3 linked regions of the Canis lupus familiaris genome follow. The protein of the gene in region 1 interacts with the protein of each later gene in a pairwise test. Links are inferred from orthologs where the notes say so. Each region holds a gene or a part of one and is shown in the gene's direction. Other genes may lie near its edges.

The links. The genes of interacting proteins can lie anywhere in the genome.
Region 2: the proteins of GOLGA2 (region 1) and STK26 interact in binary tests that used the Homo sapiens proteins (3 or more experiments, as listed by UniProt). The link is inferred for Canis lupus familiaris from reciprocal best matches to the Homo sapiens genes GOLGA2 and STK26.
Region 3: the proteins of GOLGA2 (region 1) and SLU7 interact in binary tests that used the Homo sapiens proteins (3 or more experiments, as listed by UniProt). The two-hybrid records come from large-scale screens. The link is inferred for Canis lupus familiaris from reciprocal best matches to the Homo sapiens genes GOLGA2 and SLU7.

The regions. Positions count from the first base shown.
Region 1 is NC_049230.1:55,320,848-55,326,735, forward strand, and holds the start of GOLGA2 (golgin subfamily A member 2), read left to right. Parts: upstream 1-2,045; 5' UTR 2,046-2,156; coding exon 2,157-2,204; intron 2,205-3,723; coding exon 3,724-3,840; intron 3,841-4,974; coding exon 4,975-5,055; intron 5,056-5,888. Other genes in the region: DNA repair protein SWI5 homolog, read right to left, coding at 1,390-1,438, 1,699-1,913, 1,981-2,001. UniProt on the Homo sapiens protein: Peripheral membrane component of the cis-Golgi stack that acts as a membrane skeleton that maintains the structure of the Golgi apparatus, and as a vesicle thether that facilitates vesicle fusion to the Golgi membrane.
Region 2 is NC_049260.1:103,878,267-103,884,110, forward strand, and holds the start of STK26 (serine/threonine-protein kinase 26), read left to right. Parts: upstream 1-2,408; 5' UTR 2,409-2,572; intron 2,573-2,674; 5' UTR 2,675-2,783; coding exon 2,784-2,825; exon of another isoform or gene 2,826-2,990; intron 2,991-5,844. UniProt on the Homo sapiens protein: Serine/threonine-protein kinase that acts as a mediator of cell growth. Modulates apoptosis. In association with STK24 negatively regulates Golgi reorientation in polarized cell migration upon RHO activation.
Region 3 is NC_049225.1:51,199,765-51,205,464, forward strand, and holds the start of SLU7 (pre-mRNA-splicing factor SLU7), read left to right. Parts: upstream 1-2,264; 5' UTR 2,265-2,297; coding exon 2,298-2,422; intron 2,423-4,405; coding exon 4,406-4,591; intron 4,592-5,251; coding exon 5,252-5,405; intron 5,406-5,700. UniProt on the Homo sapiens protein: Required for pre-mRNA splicing as component of the spliceosome. Participates in the second catalytic step of pre-mRNA splicing, when the free hydroxyl group of exon I attacks the 3'-splice site to generate spliced mRNA and the excised lariat intron.

The DNA.
Region 1 (5,888 bases):
TGACAAGGTAGAATCGAAGCTGAAAGTGTGGTGAACCAAGATAGAGGCCTGGGTCCCGGAAGACTATTTAGGTCACCATTATTGGGGGCTTTCTTTCACTCCTGCCCAAGCCCAATCCTAACTAAAGGGCTCACTCTGGCCCCTAATCTGACCCTAGATAATCTACTAGGGTCATGTCTACTTCTCGGATTCTCTTCTCAAGTCTATGATGTCGCTGGGCTTATGATTTTATTGGATAACAAAACCATTCTCTAGGGCTGCAGTTCATCTGCCCTCTTTGTCTCTAGAAGCTACAAGGGCCAGGGCTTGGTACACTGGCTAATCTTTAGGAAATATGTGTTGGATCTGAAGAAGAGGCCAAGGAAGATATGGTTCCTATTCTTAGGGCAGGGTTTGTTAATCAGTGAGTTGACAGTGAATAAGCCCTATCTGCTAGACACTGGCAAAGGCTCCAGGAATTCAACGATGGACAAGACATCAAGCCTGGCCCCTGCCTTCTGGGAATGCATATAAAACACCCAGTAATTATGGTTTTCCTCCAGATATCTTCATTTAAAATTCTACTCACACTTCATCAGGAAGGCCCTCGCTGACCACTCCGTCTAAAATGGTCACTCCTCACTGGCTTACTATTCTTTTGTCCTGATATTTTAAAACATCTATCACCACCTGACATATACATTTCATTGATAATATGTTGTTGGCCTCATGCCACTGGAGTATGAACTCCATGAGGGCAGGGACTGTGTTTTGTTCACTGTGCCCCAACAGTGCCTGGCACACGGGAGGCACTCAATAAAAAGGTGTCCAGTGAATGAATGAATGACAAATAATTAATCAACTAACAACAAGTCTGAAAAGTGCTTTTTAGGTGAAGTACAGTGTGCTAAGGGAGTGTCTAATTGAGCAACTGGACCGAGTCAGAAGTGGGGGTGAGTGAGGCTCCTCTCGGGGATTCTCAACCCGGAAGGATGAGCAGGCATCACCTTGCTAAAAAGCTGCAAGGGAAGTATTCCAGAAGCGCACAGTATATTCAAATGGCAAAGGCACGAGAGCGCACGCGCGTCTGGGGGAATGAGAGTGGTTTTTGTGTGGGGTGGTGGGTGAGGGAGGAGATCAGGGTGCTCCCGGCAAGGAGGAGAGACAGAGCCTACTGGGGGAGCCTGGGGTACCACAGGCAAAGGCCAGGACACTGCTTCTCCTTTGAATCTTGGTGGGCAGGAGGAAAAGAAGGCAGAAGGACTGAGAAATGACCCGGAGTTCCTCAGCAGAACAAGATGTGCTGGGGGAAGACTTGAAGGGGGCTGGGGATGGAGAGGAGGGCTGGGAGCAGCACTGACTTCACACTGCGGAGGGAGAGAAAGGGGTGGGGGTCACAGGCATACTCACAGGGGATTGGAAGGCCCCGCGGCAACTTTGGGAAAGTCCTGGTTGAGTCCTGGAGAGGAATCCGAAGACAAAAGGCTGATTGAACCTAGAGTCAGTCCGCTCTGAGAGGAGAGGGTTACGTGGGGGTGTGGGAGGTAAGGAGTTGGGGAGGGGCAGATACGGTCCGAGATGAGGGCAGGGAGTGTGGGGGGCTAGATGGGGGTCTCTGGAAGTGATCTCTGGGACCAGAGTCTGAGGCCCGGCAATGGGGAGTCAGGAAAGGGACTGTGAAGGGATGCGCTTTCGCCCTGCTATCCGCTCCTCGCCCACCTCCGGAGCCCTGGGGTCCGGGGCCCCCGTCTCGGGGGAGTATGCAGTGCAGAAGGGTCCAGGGCGGGGCGGGAGAGCGGCCCCTCTGGCCCACCAGGTACTCGGAATCTTAGGACGGAGACGCCGACGGCTGGGTGGCTAAATGCGCGCGCAACCTGCAAAGCCAGGTCCCGCCCCCGCCCCGAAGTGGGCGGGGCCAGAGGCTGCGCGCGCAGCTTTCATTGTCACTCCACCCGCTCGCGGCAACCTGACCACGCCCATTCCCCCGTTCATCTTTCTCACCAGCCAATAGAATTGGAGCATTGAGGCCACGCCCACCAGCTGCTACCTAGAAACTCTAGGGTCCCTCCCTTTCTGGCTCAGTCGCACACCGGCGCGGTGACTGCCGGAAGTGATGCCGCGGTGGTTGCCGGGATCGCGGTGATGTGGCCACCCCCCTTACCCCTCCCCGTCCCGGGATGTCGGAAGAAACCCGACAGAGCAAATTGGCTGCGGCCAAGAAAAAGGTAAAACGTGCCGGGTCGCGGCTCCCTGACCCAGCCAAAGGCCCCTCGGACGGCCGGGCCGTGGCCAGAATCTTTGCTGCCCCTGAGGCACACGGGGCTAGCCCCGTGACGCCCCTTGGCGCCCCCCACCCCAAGTCGTCTCAGCCAGTCCCGCCCCCCGGCTGCCCAGCCCCCGCCCTCGCCCGCCGCCCCCGGTGACTTTGGGCTGGTGACTCCCCGGGCTCCCTGCTCCAGGTTTGGCCCTAGCCTTCTGCCACCCAGAAGCGGAGGACCTGGGCTCTCCAGGCCGGTCCCGGTGTCCAGGGACCTCGGTCCCAGCCCTGCTTTCCCCTCCCCCACCGCGGAGCGGCGACTCGGGCGTTGGTAGGGAGGAGGGGAATGTAGTTACGTCACAATCCCCCTCGGAACTGTCATTAGCGCCAGGAGCCCCGGTGTTTGGTCTTACTACCCAGTCTCCCAGTGTTTTCATACCCTTTCCGGTTTCTCCGGTCGCGGCGCAAATTTCCAGCTTGAAGGGGACTGGGGACTATGGGACCTAGGTGGGAGAGGTTTCAGGAGCCCTTACTCTAGACTGTACCCCATCCTTAAACATTGACTACACCAGTGATCATGGAACATTGATAACACCTTGGTGACAATGGGGAGAGTGTGTTTTCTTTGGTATGGTTTCCTTTTAGGTTTCTACTGTCCAGAAAGACTTTCACATATTAAATCTGAATTCTCTACCTCACATTTTAATTCCTTATGATTCTGGACCAGAGTCCCCCCCGCCTCCCCCCCATCAATCAGTGCTCTTTGGAGTGAGATCTGCTTATCCTCTGTGGAACTGATCTCTGGAACCTGAATTTCATAGGTGGGAATCTTCCCCAAATCATCATCTCAACATGGAGTGTTCTGAGGGCCACAGGATAATATAGAACTGAAGCATCAATTGTGCTTGATTCTTTTGAGAAAGAAAAATCCTTTTATAGTAATGTACTAGGGATGACATTTGTGTAGATTTGTAAGATTATGATAGACTTCTCTCTGAAATGGTGCTTGGATTGTCCTCTTTCTGTTAGGTTTCCACATTCACTAGGTGTGTGCCTTTACTGCCTTCTGCCATCAGGATACGTTGATATAAAAGTTTGATAAATACCAATGTGCAGCTTTAACAGATTTGTAGGAAAGGACTCTAAAGTCAGATTACTCAGATGTTATTTTTCCCACCTTTTCCACCTCCACCTCTGGTTTTGCCTTTTGGCACCTGCTGATTTCATGGCATAACCCCAGAACTCGGAGTCAGAAGACTAAGTTTAAATTCCATTATTGCCTAAGTTTAAATTCCATTATTGCCTTTTCTTTTCTTAGTCATGTTATCAGTCTATTTCTGCAGTCACTGAGAATTACAACACCTTGTAGGGCTGTTGGTGGCATTAAGTCAGATGGCGAGTATGGGAGTATATTGTAAACTACAAAGTTGGACATGAATACAGGGGTTTATAGTTCTCATGAGCCCCACTGATTTTCCTTTCTGTAGTTGAGGGAGTATCAGCAGAAGAACAGCCCTGGTGTAGGAGCAAAGAAGAAAAGGAAGATTAAAAATGGCAGTAGCCCTGAGACTACCACTTCCAATGATTGTCACTCTCCTGAGGATGTGAGTACTGGCTGGCCAGGTTCCTGGGGCCAGGGGTGTTTGAGGGGCAGTAGAGGGTGGTGGTTGATACTGTGGAGGAGATGTCAGGTACGGATTTGAATCCTACCTCTCCCTCTGCTGGGAATATGCCCCATCAATAAAGTTGGGGTAATAATGTCTTAACACTGGTGACACTGGAATGAGATGGTTGATTTTTTTTGTTTCTTTTAAGGGTTTATTTATTTGAGAGAGAGCAGGGGGAGGGGCAAAGGAAGAGGGAGAGAGAATCCTCAAGCAGACTCCCTGCTGAGCACGGAGCCTGATGTCTGGCTGGATCCCATGACTCTGAGATCATGACCTGAGCCGGAAGAACTCAGGAGTCGGACACTTAACCAACTAAGCTGTCCAGATGCCCCATTGATGTTGTTTTTATATTAATCCCTTAGGGCCTGGTGTGGGATAAGCATTCAGTCAAGGGTAGTCCTATTTGACATACTGACCTGGTGACTTTCCTCATCCCTGGCTTCAGGGGGGAAGCCAGGCAGTGAGAATAGCCATCTGCCATCACACTGTCCCTATAGGAAGCACCAAAAGAGACCCAGGGTGTAGCAAGGAGACCAAGCATTTGGGTTAGGTGACAGTGAATTTTGAGTCCATCTTTGCCACCAGTTTGCTGGGCGACCTCAGGAAAATCACTTCCTCCCCTGGGCCCAGTTTCCTCTTCTGTAAGATGATATTGTTGGAGCAGATCAGTGTCTTTCAGACTTCTAGCTGGAGCTCCCTTTGTTCAAGCGAACCCTCCATGGAAGTCTGGTTTTTAAAATGGAGTTGCAAGCCTGTCAGATTTGTCCCCAGCACCCGGGTCTGAGGAGAGGGTCTGATGAATGTATTAAAATAACACCTGCATTGGGCTGGTGATCGCGTTCTCGGTCTCGTTCAGGGGACTTTTCCATCTGGGTACATTGATTTCTGCCTCCAGCACGGCAGCAGGTGGCTGTTTGGGAAGGCAGCACAGGCCATGGATTTGTTGCCCTCTCTCTTCTCCAGCATTTCATCTTCCTGAACCCACTTCTTCCTTCCCTGACTCTCTCACCTCTCTCTAAGCCACTCTTCTCTCTCCCCTTGCCCTTGTTTCTCCCTTCTCGCCTCCTGTAGATTCAGGATATTCTGAAGGTGCTGGTGTCCGACCTTAACCGCTCCAATGGGGTAGCGCTCCCCCCATTGGACAAGTGGAAGGTGAGGCAGTGCCGAACCCCCTCTCTGGCTTGCTCTCTCCCAGCTGTGCATGCCCCAAGGCTTCTCTGGTTTGGGGGAATACTTTGCCTCTGGCTTATTTTATGTTGCTGTCATTAACCCTCAGCCTGTTCATGTCTGCTTTTTTTTTCACCTGCTTGGTTGATTGGGTTTTTTTCCTTCCCCCACATCTTTTATCATTTTGAAGAAGATGTGAGACACATCTTGAAGTTTAAAGGTAACTTGGGAAAGCTTCCAGAGCAGGTGTGTGGGATTTGGCTTTTTCTAGCCTTGGGTATGAATACCCAGTGGCGCGTCAGATTTGGATTAAATAAAAGCAAACCTTCACACTTGCCCTTTGGGCACCTGTCCCCCAAAAGATGAATAGACTGCATAGCAGTTTGTCCTTTTTTTGAATTGGATTAGTTCATTTTGGTTGGAGAGTAGGTAGTGTAGGGTTAAGACAAAGGGAGTGTATGTTATAGTTACAAGGACTGAGGTTATTTTTTCAGAGGAATTAACTGGAAAGCATGTGAAGTTAACCAAACATGAGTGACCAGGACATCCCGCCTGCCCCTATTCTCAAAAATCAGTTCAACACTGGGCTGTGTGTTCAATGGGTCCTTGCTAGGAGAGGCAGTTGGCTAGGTGCTCAAGAAAAAGAGGTAAACCAGGTTGAATGCATACTTAGGGAGGCAGAGACCCTGCTGCAAGAAGCAAGGTAAGATGTGGCAACATTCCAGGTGCTTAACTGAGGGTAAGGTTGGTTCTAAATGAACTCGAGACTGATGGGAAGATTAGAGGCGGGTAGCATTCATCCATATGGAGAGTGGGGG
Region 2 (5,844 bases), on another chromosome or scaffold:
TGAGAATCACCAGTATTGCCACCATCTGGGGAACTTAACAGTGCAAAATCTTGGGCCCATTCCAGACTTGCTAAATCAAACTCTGCACTTTAAAAAGAATCCTAGGGAACGTTTTTTTTTTTTTGTTGTTGTTGTTGTTAAGATTTTATTTAATTATTTATTTATTTATTTATTTATTTATTTATTTATTTGAGAGAGAGAGTGCACAAGCAAGGGGGAGGGGTGGAGGGAAGGGGAAAACACACTCCCTGCTGAACATGGAGCAGGATGACGGATGCAGGGGCTGGATCTCAGGACCCTGAGATTCTGACGTGAGCCGAAGGCAGATGCTTAACCAACTGAACCAGCTAGGTGTCCCAAGATTCCTAGGGAACTTCTAAGGGCATTAAAGTTTAGGTGGCACTGCAGGTTTCTGGCCAGGCTGGTATTATTAAGTGTCAGCTGCGCTGGTGGGAAATTGAGATTGGATTGGGACCTATCATCAGGTTAGAAGTTGTGAGGGCCTGGATATGGGAAGTAGGAGTAAGGAGATGCAATTATATCCTTTGTTATCTGAATGGATAATGAAATGTGATGGAATATTATTCAACCATGAAAAAGGAAATCCTGCCATTTGTGACCATGTGGATGGATGTTGAGGGCATTATTTTAAGGGAAAGCAGTCAGAGAGAGACTAAATACTGTATGATCTAAAAAATACCAAACTTATAGAAACAGAGAGTAGAACTGGTGGTTGCCAGGGCAAGTGAGGCGGGACATAGGTGAAGGTGGTCAAAGATCATAAACTTTCAGTTATAAGATGTGTAAGTTCTGGGGATGTAATGTATAACATAGTGACAATATTTAACAATACTATATTGTATAATTGACAGTTGCTAAGAGAGTAGATCTTAGGAGTTAGAGGGACTTGAGTTTGGATTCCCAGCTCTACCACTTCTTAATTGTGTGATATTTGGGTCAAATTGTTTAACCCCATAGAGCCTTTTTCATCACTTGTAAGATGGAGGGGTAATATGGGCGACTTCAGAGGGCCTTTGTAAAGAGTCAATCATGTAACGCATATCTAGCACTTTGCCGTCCCTGGCACAAAGAAAATGGCACCCATTAAGAATAATTATGTTTAGGGATCCCTGGGTAGCGCAGCGGTTTGGCGCCTGCCTTTGGCCCAGGGCGCGATCCTGGAGACCCGGGATCGAATCCCACATCGGGCTCCCGGTGCATGGAGCCTGCTTTTCCCTCTGTCTGTGTCTCTGCCTCTTTCTCTCTCTCTCTCTGTGACTATCATAAATAAATAAAATTTTTAAAAAAAGAATAATTATGTTTATAACACTAAAATGCTGTCTTTCGAGAAAGATTCAAAGGCAACAAAAGAAACAGAAGAAACTTTAATGAGTGTCTACTAGAGTCCCAACCTTGTGTTAGGTCCAGACCTATAACAATTTGCAATGTAAGGAACTTCATCCTCATCTTAAACTGGTACTTGGATATGACATTTTTAAATGTACTTAACCCCTGTTGGTCCCCCCAGGTGCCTTCATGATGAGATTTCTGTAATTGTTACTATTATCATTGTGACTTGTTATCTTTAGGGTATTCTCAAAAGGAACTGCCTCCCTGTTGGAGCAGAACTTAAGAGGGAACAAAGGTAGGGAATTGCTAAAACCACTATTGCGTATGCCGTATACCAAGTTCATTAAGGCGTACTACTAAAGATCTGGTCTCATTTTTTATGCCTCTATCATCCTCATTAATTTTTCTGCTGATGTAATATCTGTTTTCCAATTTCTCCCCCCCCCCTTCCACGTGCAAACTTGCGACGAGAAGCCCCAGTTTGGCAGCCCTCCAACCGACAACCCAAGAGGTAGGGGTAGCCTCAGGTTCAAGTCACCTGAAGTACGTCTGGGGGACGGTGAATCCAGAAAGCAGGCGAGCGGCTACGCGTCTGCCCAGAGGCTCGGCCCCAGCCTGGAGACCCAGACCCCGGGAATGAATAGAGGGTCCACCAACTCGGCGGCTCTCTGTGGCCGCACCCTTGACTAGATCGCGGAGCCGATAGGGATTTCCAACACTCCCCAAGTTTCAACTCAAGTGGTCTCTGAAGCTGCGTGTGCCCCAGCTTCGAACGTCTGTCCGCCTGTCGGCGACGTGGCCGCGTCGGGGACGCACTCTAACCCCCAGGGTCACCGAGACGCCTCCATTCCCTCCCCTGGCCGGGCCCAGTGCCGGGCCCCCCAGCCCGCGGCTTCTCCTCTCCGCGTGCGGAGGGAGTCCGCCCCCTCGCCGACCCAGCCGCACGCAGCCCAGCGCCGCGAGGGGCTCCGGCGCTCCTGACACCGCCCGGCGGCAGGGCGGAGGCAGGGCCAACGGCGGAACCGCCCCCAACCGCCTCCCGGGCCCAGCGGGCGGGCGGGTTGCTGGGGCGCCTCCACCTCCTCTTCCTAAAGCGGCGAGGCGCCGAGGAGCGGCATCACTCGAGCCCAGGTCCCGGCTACCGCCACACGGTGCGCCCAGCGTTCGGGAGGAGGAGCGGCGGCGGAGGCGGCGGCAACAGCGGCGGGCGGGCGCCAGAAAGGTAGACTGAGCCCCAGGCAGCTGCGCCGCCAACCGCCCAGAACCCCCAGCCCGGGGCGACGCGCCACCAGCTCAGTCACCCCACTTCTGTGTGTCCTTCCAGGCCCCGGTCGAAAAGCCTGGGAGGGCCGCCGAGCTACCCCCGGAGGAGGAGCCAGTCCGAGCCCAAGGCGCCACCGCCACAGGAGCAGTGCAGAGCAGTCTTCGCCTTCATGGCCCACTCACCGGTGGCTGTCCAAGTTCCCGGGATGCAGGTGAGGAAGCCCAGGCCGCCTCCGCCGACCACGTGACTGCCCCAGAGCCCGGTGCGCGGTCCCCGGTGACCAGAGGCGGCCCCGGGGCTCCCTTGAAGGCAGGGCCGGGCGCTGGGGCCAGGTGACCCGGGAGTCGGGCTCGAAGCGTTTTCCGGCGGCGTTTAGACCAGCTGGTGCATTGCGCGGGGAGGGGCGGGGAGGGACCCGGCGCGCGCCGAGGTGCGGGGGGGGGGGGCGCGGGCGGCGGGGGAGCATAAAAATAGGCCAGATCCAGACACCTGCGCCTGCGGAGCGTGGTCCGCCTGGGGACTGGAGGTGGAAGGTCTTAACTTGAGAGAGATGGAGGTGTCTCGAATTTGTGGGGTAAAAAGCAAGTCGTGCGCCACCCCCCGCACACACACAAGTTGGGGTGGAGCAAGACAAGGGGGTGTCGGTGGCGGCGGTGTTGAATTGGGCTCTTCCTGTGTGCGTAGTGCGAAGAGCGAGGTGGCTTCTCTTCGGTGTTGCTTCTTAAGGGCGAAGTTCTATCTCGCTCCCCCACCTGGCCCATCCCATAGTGTGGCTTGAGAAATGCTGCGTCCTTCGTCTGAATGGCTGAGGTGATGACTCCCCAGCCCCCTCCCCCTGCCTTTCCCATAAGACAACTGTTCATGTGGTTAAAGGAAGCTTTTTGTCCTGGACAAGGGACTACTGCTTAAGACCCATCTTCTATCTTGAGATTTACCCAGCCCCCGCCCCCCATTACATTTTCATTTTATTCAGGAAGAAAGAAGCGATGTTCCTACACTTTTTACGCGGTTACGTATTTAAAGTGGTGCATTTCAAGCTATCTACTAAATGTTATCCAGGTCTACTAACATTTAAGCGTTCACTTTTTTCCTTTCCTAGATAGCCTAAACAACCCATTTATGAGCAGATGAAAGACTAGAAACACTAAAGACTCACTCAGTCCCTCATTAGCTTCTAAAAATGTAAAGCAGATTTTTTTCAAGTTCAGAAAAAAACGTTTAGAGTTGTAAATAGCTTATGTTTCTAGTAAAACGCTGTGGATTGGGGCCTCAATATACTAATTGATGCATGGAATTCATCCTTTTTTTTTTTTTTTTTACCGACTGGTCATGTTTTATGCATGGTCACAAAAAGTAATTTTAAAAATACTTTCCCACAAAAGGACCATTTGTGTGGGACATATATCAATCCTAGGACTCCTGTGTGTACTAAGCACCAGGCCTAAGCACCAGGCCTTTTAGCTGAATATAGGGCAAGTCTGTGTTGAGTCCCAGGAAGTCGGTTTGTATTTAATAAAAAGGAGAAAGAAAGAAAAAGGGAAATGAGAAATATTCGGGCTTTTTAAAAGATTAATCCATTCAGCCTTTACAAAATGCCTCAAACTTTTTTCTCAGACCAACCCCTTCCCTCCCTCACTCATTCCCCCATCCACCCAGCCCCACAACCCATTCATTCAGTCTGCCTTTGATTGTGTAGCAAGAGATTAGTAGTTTGCAGTACTAACTCCGATTTTGCTCTGTCTGATGTGGAAGAAGTGCGAAATACTTCTCACCGTGCTCTTCTTTCCATTCTGCGGGGAGTAGAACGGTACAGATGGAAAGTTTGTCCCTGAGGGTCTCCATGCTTCTGTCTCCATTGTGTGCGCCTGCGTCAGCAGAGAGCGTGCCTCCTGTTCATCAAGTTTGTGACTCTGGGGAACTCTGTGTGCTGGGAAGAAAATGGTTTCTGGTCTTTATTTCATTTGTCTTTATTTGATTTATAGGGTTTAGGACCCCCTTGCCATTCAGTGTTTCTTATTGCTCCCTGCTTTAATTATTGGAGTTCCCTATCTCTTGAATTTTAAAATCTTCATTAAGGTGGTTTAGTATGTGAATCACATCTTAATTTACAACTTCTGCCTCTTACTGTATGCCTTCCCAAAATTGTGGTTACTTAGTCCCACATAATTTGGGGAGGACAGTCCTCTCCATATTAGCAAAGAAGAGAGGGATACTTGTCACTTTCTCCATCTTAATGAAATGATAAATTCTTAACTGTTTATTTCCATTTTATTTGTAGGTGTGATTCTTAAGCATTTGATGCATCACAAAAGCTTTCCACAGTAAAAATTGCACAGTACCTTAAAAATAAATTTGATACATGCAGTGTGACTCTTGAGACTAGACTACTTTTACTATTCTTTTGTTCAAAAATATTGCAAATGAGATGCAGAAATATATGCACTTGTAAAATTCTCAACTTTTGTTCAAGAGTTAGGAGCAACTTTTAAACCGAGAGTAGTAAGAAAACTCAAGTTAGCCATGTGTTCTTGAAATTAATGTATAGTATTTCCACAAATCAGGGTGAAGTGGTTGACTGGCCTATAACTTTTTAACAGTTTATTTTAGAGAATTATGAAGATTGATGGAAAAAATGATTTTTCCAGAAATAAAAACAAAATTACTTTATCCACAGTGTTTTTCTCCCCCTGAGGAGAGACATGAAGTAGAAGTCGAGCTACCTGTTCTATCACTTAAGACTTCAAGCATTCCTGACTTTCGAACAAAGAAATTTCTGTTGCCACTAGTTTAAAATAGAAAAGAAACTTGGAGTGACGAAAGAAAACCCAGGATTTGGTCCAGTTCAAACTCTTCCTTATGAATTAGTTATTCCAACTCGTGTTGATATTTCTTAATATTGTGGTAATAAACATTTTTTGCACTAGTACATCAAATGTTGAGGGTATGAATTTGTTTTGTACTTTGTGTTTACTTTGTTAGTGTATACCTAAAGGAATTTTCCACACAAGTAGCTACACTCTTGAAAAATATTTAAAGCACAACTTAAAAAAAATAAACCAATAAACCTGTTTCTTTCTACTCAAATATTTACACTTTAATGATTTAAAACATACTGTTTTCTTTGAAGTGTTTAGTTATAAGTTATGCTTAAGCTTAAAATATTTTCCCTTAGAACCTTCATTAGAATTTATTAAGACAAGTATTCTAAACTGGTTTAATCTTTCATAAAA
Region 3 (5,700 bases), on another chromosome or scaffold:
TCCCTCTATCTACCTCTAAATGATTCAACTCCATATTGCATCATCAGCACACAAGTGTTCACTTTGGAACCGAATCTGTATAGCACCTACAGCTGGGAAGTGGGGATTCTCTATCTCCCAAGGTCTTTGAGTGCAAGATTTGTATCTCCCCCAGTTAAGTCTTCCCCTTACAACAGGAAGCACTGTGTTTCTCAAGGTCATGTAGAAACTGTAAAATGCTATAGCCACCCCCTCTTTTTTTTTTTTAAAGATTTTTATTTATTTATTTATTTATGAGAGACACAGAAAGAGAGGCAGAGACATAGGCAGAGGATCAAGCCCCGCATCAGACTTCCCCCGAGAGAAGCCTGCTTCTCCCTCTGCCTATGTCTCTGGGATCATGACCTGAGCCACTGAGCCACCCAGGTGCCCCAACTACCCCCTCTTTGAGTGATTCTTGTTTTCTCACCAATGATGCCCCAAACCCACTTTACTATTCCCTATTATTACTAGATTACCCAATTAGTAACCACCCTCACCTTATAATAGTACCTAGATCCTAATCAATCCCCGTTTATTCTAATCATGATTTACAAACAGCAACCCATCTAGAGAACTGAACACGTGCTTCCCTATACTTTTCTCCAAGTCCTCCAGGGGGAATCCAAACCTTACAAAGCCTTCTCCCTTCTCTTCTAGTACATTATATGATTCGTCTGGGAGATGTGTTCTCTGGCTTGTGCCTGGTGATTTTAAAACAGGCCTCAACAATTCCAAGCCAATTTCAGGAATTATTTAAAGAAGTAAAAACAAAGTGTAGGTGATCCAGAGACTACTCACTTTCAGGCTATTCTCTGACCCTTTCTATGACTTCACCTGTTGCCCTGTAAAATCAAAATTAATGTTTAAATTCCTAAACTCTTGGCACTGCAAATTTTTAATAAGAAAAAAATGGATTATGAGGGGGTTTTATGAAGCATGGGTGTGAGCTATTTTCACTTTTACTTTTTTTAAAGACTTTATTTCAGAGATAGAGAGTGAGCAAAGAGCAGAAATGGAGCAGTGAGGAAGAGGTAGGAGGGGGAGAAGCAGACTCTCCACAGAGCAGGGAGCCTGACATGGGCCTCAATCCATGAACTCCAGAATCATGAGCTGAGCTGAAAGTAGACACTTAACTGACTGAGCCACCCAAGCACCCCTCACTTTTACTTTTAAAAGCAATATATACTGGGGCGCCTGGGTGGCTCAGTCGGTTAAGCGACCCAGTCTTGACTTTCAACTCAGATCATTATCTCCGGGGCCTGGGATCTAGCCCAGAATTCAGCTGTGCACTAAGTGAGAAATCTGCTTTAGAATTCTCTCCCAGTCGCCTGCCTCTCCCCCTGCTCACTCTCTCTGTCTAAAAACAAGCAAATAAATCTAATACATGTTACCTTGAAAAATAAAAGACAACAGCACAAAGAAGAAAAAAACAGAAGAAATTCTACTACCAAAATTACTGCTTAGGGGTGGCTCAGTCCGTTAAGCGTCTGCCTTCAGCTCAGGTGATGATCCAGGAGTCCTGAGATGGAACCCCCGTCCCCTCATGCTCTTTCTCTCGTTCTACACTCTCTCAAGTAAATCAATAAAATCTTAAAAAAAAAAAAAAAAAAAAAGAAAGAAAGAAATAAGAAAGAACAAACTACTGCTTATTTTCCAGTAACTAATCTTACTTCATAGGTGTACTTTAAAAGGAGGGTTGGAATGTCATAGATACCAGTTTTCCCAAAATAGAAATTGTTTCATAGTATTTTTTTTTCTAATGACAAAACACAAGATCACTTCGGTACAGAATGTCACAACCACCAAATGGTGCCTTAGGTTTTCAGAGCATCTGGTATTCCTTTCACAGAGGCTTTTTACAACTGTACATTATTTGAAAATCATTTTAGTGCCTTTTTCACTTTGTATGTTGTGAATGCAAGGAAATACTCTTTTTGCTCACCACGTCCCTCAAAGTGTCACACACTGACCACTAATTAATACTAATTTTAACTGCCTTTCTTTTGTAATATGTCACGAACTTCCCCATTCATTTCTTAGTTCTGCAGAGAGGCGTAAGCTGTTGTCTATTCTCCGTACTTTTTTTTTTTTTTTAAGCCTCCTAAGAGTCTGCGATTCTAAAAGAATCAACAACACAAACCCGGAGAGCAGGAAAGCACCTGCTCAAACTAACCCCTTCCTCCAGCCCGAGGTAAATAAAGAAGCGCGCGAGATCTCGCGATAATAACATCGCGTGGGAGCCTGACCTGGTCCCCTACCGAAAGACGTTAGTGCGCATGTGTCGCTCGTCCGGAAACTACCGCAGTGGCTGCCGGGAGAGGGCGGAAAGCCAGGAAGTAAACATTGACGGATTGAGTTTGTTTCTGTCGGGAGGTTTTGGGTTCTGCTGTGACCGGATTGGGTAAGGAAATGTGGGAACTTGGGGATGGGGAGAAGGTGAAGCTGAAAAACTCTGGAAAACAGGCCGAAGGCCTCCTACTTCTTAGATACATTCCTACGAAAGTGATGAATTCCAGGTCGAGGGGGGAATGGGGATCCGGGACCGAGAAGAAAGCCGCGGTCCTAGGCCTCAGTGTGCTTGTGCCGAGCCAGACCAGGAACGTCTTAATGATTTTTAGAGTAAGAATTATCAGATATCATCGGAGTTTCATTTCCCAGCTGTTAGCTACTTGTGGCTCTTGAGCACTTGAAATATGGCTGTTCTGAATACGTGTAAAATCTGATCGGATTTTAAAGACTTTATTTTCTCTTATGTTGATTAAGTGTTAAAATAGGATGTTGGATATGTTGGATTAAATTAAAATATTTTTAAAAGTCATTTTACGTGCTTATTTTTACTATCTTAGTATGACTACTGGAACACTTAAAGTGATGTATGAGAATGGCATTATATTTATCTTGGACAGAGCCACATTGTAGGATTTTAAGCTTGTGTAAGTAGGTTATGATATGATTAAATTTGTGTTCTGAAAAAATAACACTGCGGTGTGGAGAACTGATTGGAGAGAATGGCAGGAGACCAATAAGAAAGGGAAAGTAATACCTTCCATTAAAGTGGTAGCATTGAGGATAGAGAGAAGTAGGTAAATATGAATGCTATTCAGAAGGTAAAAAAACAAAAATACTTAATGATGAAATAGTTATCGAGATTAGCTGGAACATATATGTAAAGGTATGAATAGTATTTTTCATTAAGAGAGGAAACAGTAATCAAGATGGCATTCCATGGAGAAGATCATGAGTTTAAATTAAAATTTGATGAGTTTACGTGTTTCTAAGACCCTCTAAAAGTAGATGCTATGAAGCGAGCTATTGGAATATATGTATGTGAAACTCAGATAAAAGGTCTGAAAAGGAGAAAATAAGCTGGAGAGCCAACAGTGGTATATTAAAGCCTTAGAAATAGATGCGCTGACTACTGATGAAGTCCAGAGTGATGAAAGAGACTCCAAGACTGAGCCTTGTGGAATCCAAAATTAACTAACTGGGCCGAAATAGATGAACTTGCAAAGAAGACAAGAGCAGCAGGAGAGATTAAAGAAAAAAACAGATTATAGTGTCACTTAAGCCAAGAGGTAAGAATGTTTCAAGAAGGGAAGGAACAGGGGCGCCTGGGTGGCTCAGTCATTTGAGCTTCTGACTCTTGATTTCAGCTTATGTTAGGATCTAGGGTCCTGGGATGGAACCCCAATGACTGTCCAGCTTCCAGGTCAGCAGGGAGTCTGCCTGTCTCCCTCCCCCTCTGCCCCTACCCCTGTTCCGTGCCCCCCACACACACATGCACTCTCTCACACAAATAAAGAAATATAATAAATTTTAAAGAAATAAATATTTTAAAAAGAGAGAGAAGGAAGAAAACTGAAAAATGTTTAGTGGATTTAGCACATTGATCATTGATGACTTTGTGGGGCCTCTTCAGAGAGAGAAGGAGTGGAAGCTAAATTGGAGTGACTGAGGAACGAAGTAGTTGGGAAAATAGAGTCTATGGATATAGATAACTCTTAAGGAATTACATCTTTGAGAAAAATAGGACATTGTTTACTTATGTAGGGTTAATGTGCTAGAAAAGTTTGAGTCATATATAGAGAAATTAAGGAATATTAATAAGATAAAGAGTCTTAGGAAACTTTAAGTACATGTATGTATGTTTCTCTTCATTTGTAAGTTAGATTTGAGGGAGGAACTGCGAACAGTATATAGAGATTTTTTGTGGAAGAGAAAGAGACCCTTCCCTCACAGATGCTATAAGAGCATATAAAATATTATATATAAATGAGACTGTAGTATGTGTTATGAGGTATGCAATTTGTGTACTTTTGATAGTTTCCCTGATAAACTCATGAAGGCCTACTTTATACTAATATATATTTCTTTCTTCTCATAGAGGTATCCAGATAACCATGTCAGCTGCAGCTGTAGATGCAGTTAATGCAGCCCCCCTGTCGGGGTCCAAAGAAATGAGTCTGGAGGAACCAAAGAAGATGACCAGAGAGGACTGGAGAAAGAAGAAGGAGCTAGAAGAACAGCGAAAACTGGGTAATGCTCCAGCAGAAGTTGATGAAGAAGGAAAGTAAGTACATTCATTTTTTGCATTATCTGTTCATTCAAAGTTCAAATTTATATCTACTTAGTTTAGCAATTTCTCATTTTTTAGTTTGACAGGAAACTATCTTTGCCATTTACATCCTTTTTGTTTTTATTATTTTATCAAATTCATATATGTAAGGTTTAATAATAAAAAAGTATTGAAGGACTTCTAATGAACAGCAGTCATCTCTTTCAGCTCTTCCCACTCCCTGTTCCACTCTGGAAAATGACTACTTTTAAATCTTTCTATTTTGAGTTTTTCTGGTTGATACCTTTACATCTCTAAATAATGTACCTACATCGTTATTGTAATCAACTCTAGGCATTATTGGCTAGCTTCTTGCTCTTTCATAAGATTTATCTACTCTTCTAACATTCATCTCTATCTTCCTTATATCTTTCCTCGCTTCAGTTCTGTCACTATTCTTAGTTGCTAAATTGGAAATTTTTTCATTCTAAAATAAATTACTTATTTTTAATTTTGTTGTTTTTACTATATTATATAGAGAGATCAGGCATATTTTCTCTCTCCCCTCCACTGCACTATCTCTCTTCTTAGAGTCTGTATAGGCTACCTTTGTAATTGTATTATCAACTATTTTCAAACTTTATTCTTAAAATATATATATTTTTTAAATTACAGAGACATCAACCCTCATATACCTCAGTATATTTCTTCAGTGCCATGGTATATTGATCCATCAAAAAGACCTACTTTAAAGCACCAGAGACCACAACCAGAGAAACAAAAGCAATACAGCTCATCTGGAGAATGGTACAAGAGGGGTGTAAAAGAGGTATTTGGGCAACTTTTATATATATCCTTGTGAAAATGGAGATTTTATTTGAATAACTTAATATAAAAGCCTTTAATAAAGTTATATCAGATTATAAAACATCTTTTACCTGGGATTAAAATTCACAATACATACTACTTTTGTTTCTGTGTTTTCTTTTATAAGTTTTATATTGCTAAAGTACTTAAACTTTCTCATTTATAAAAGTATGGAGACTCTAAGTAGTATTTCTCTTAATGAGTAAATCACTTCACTGGACAATATAGTAAGAAGAGCCAAATTTTTTCTAACTTAT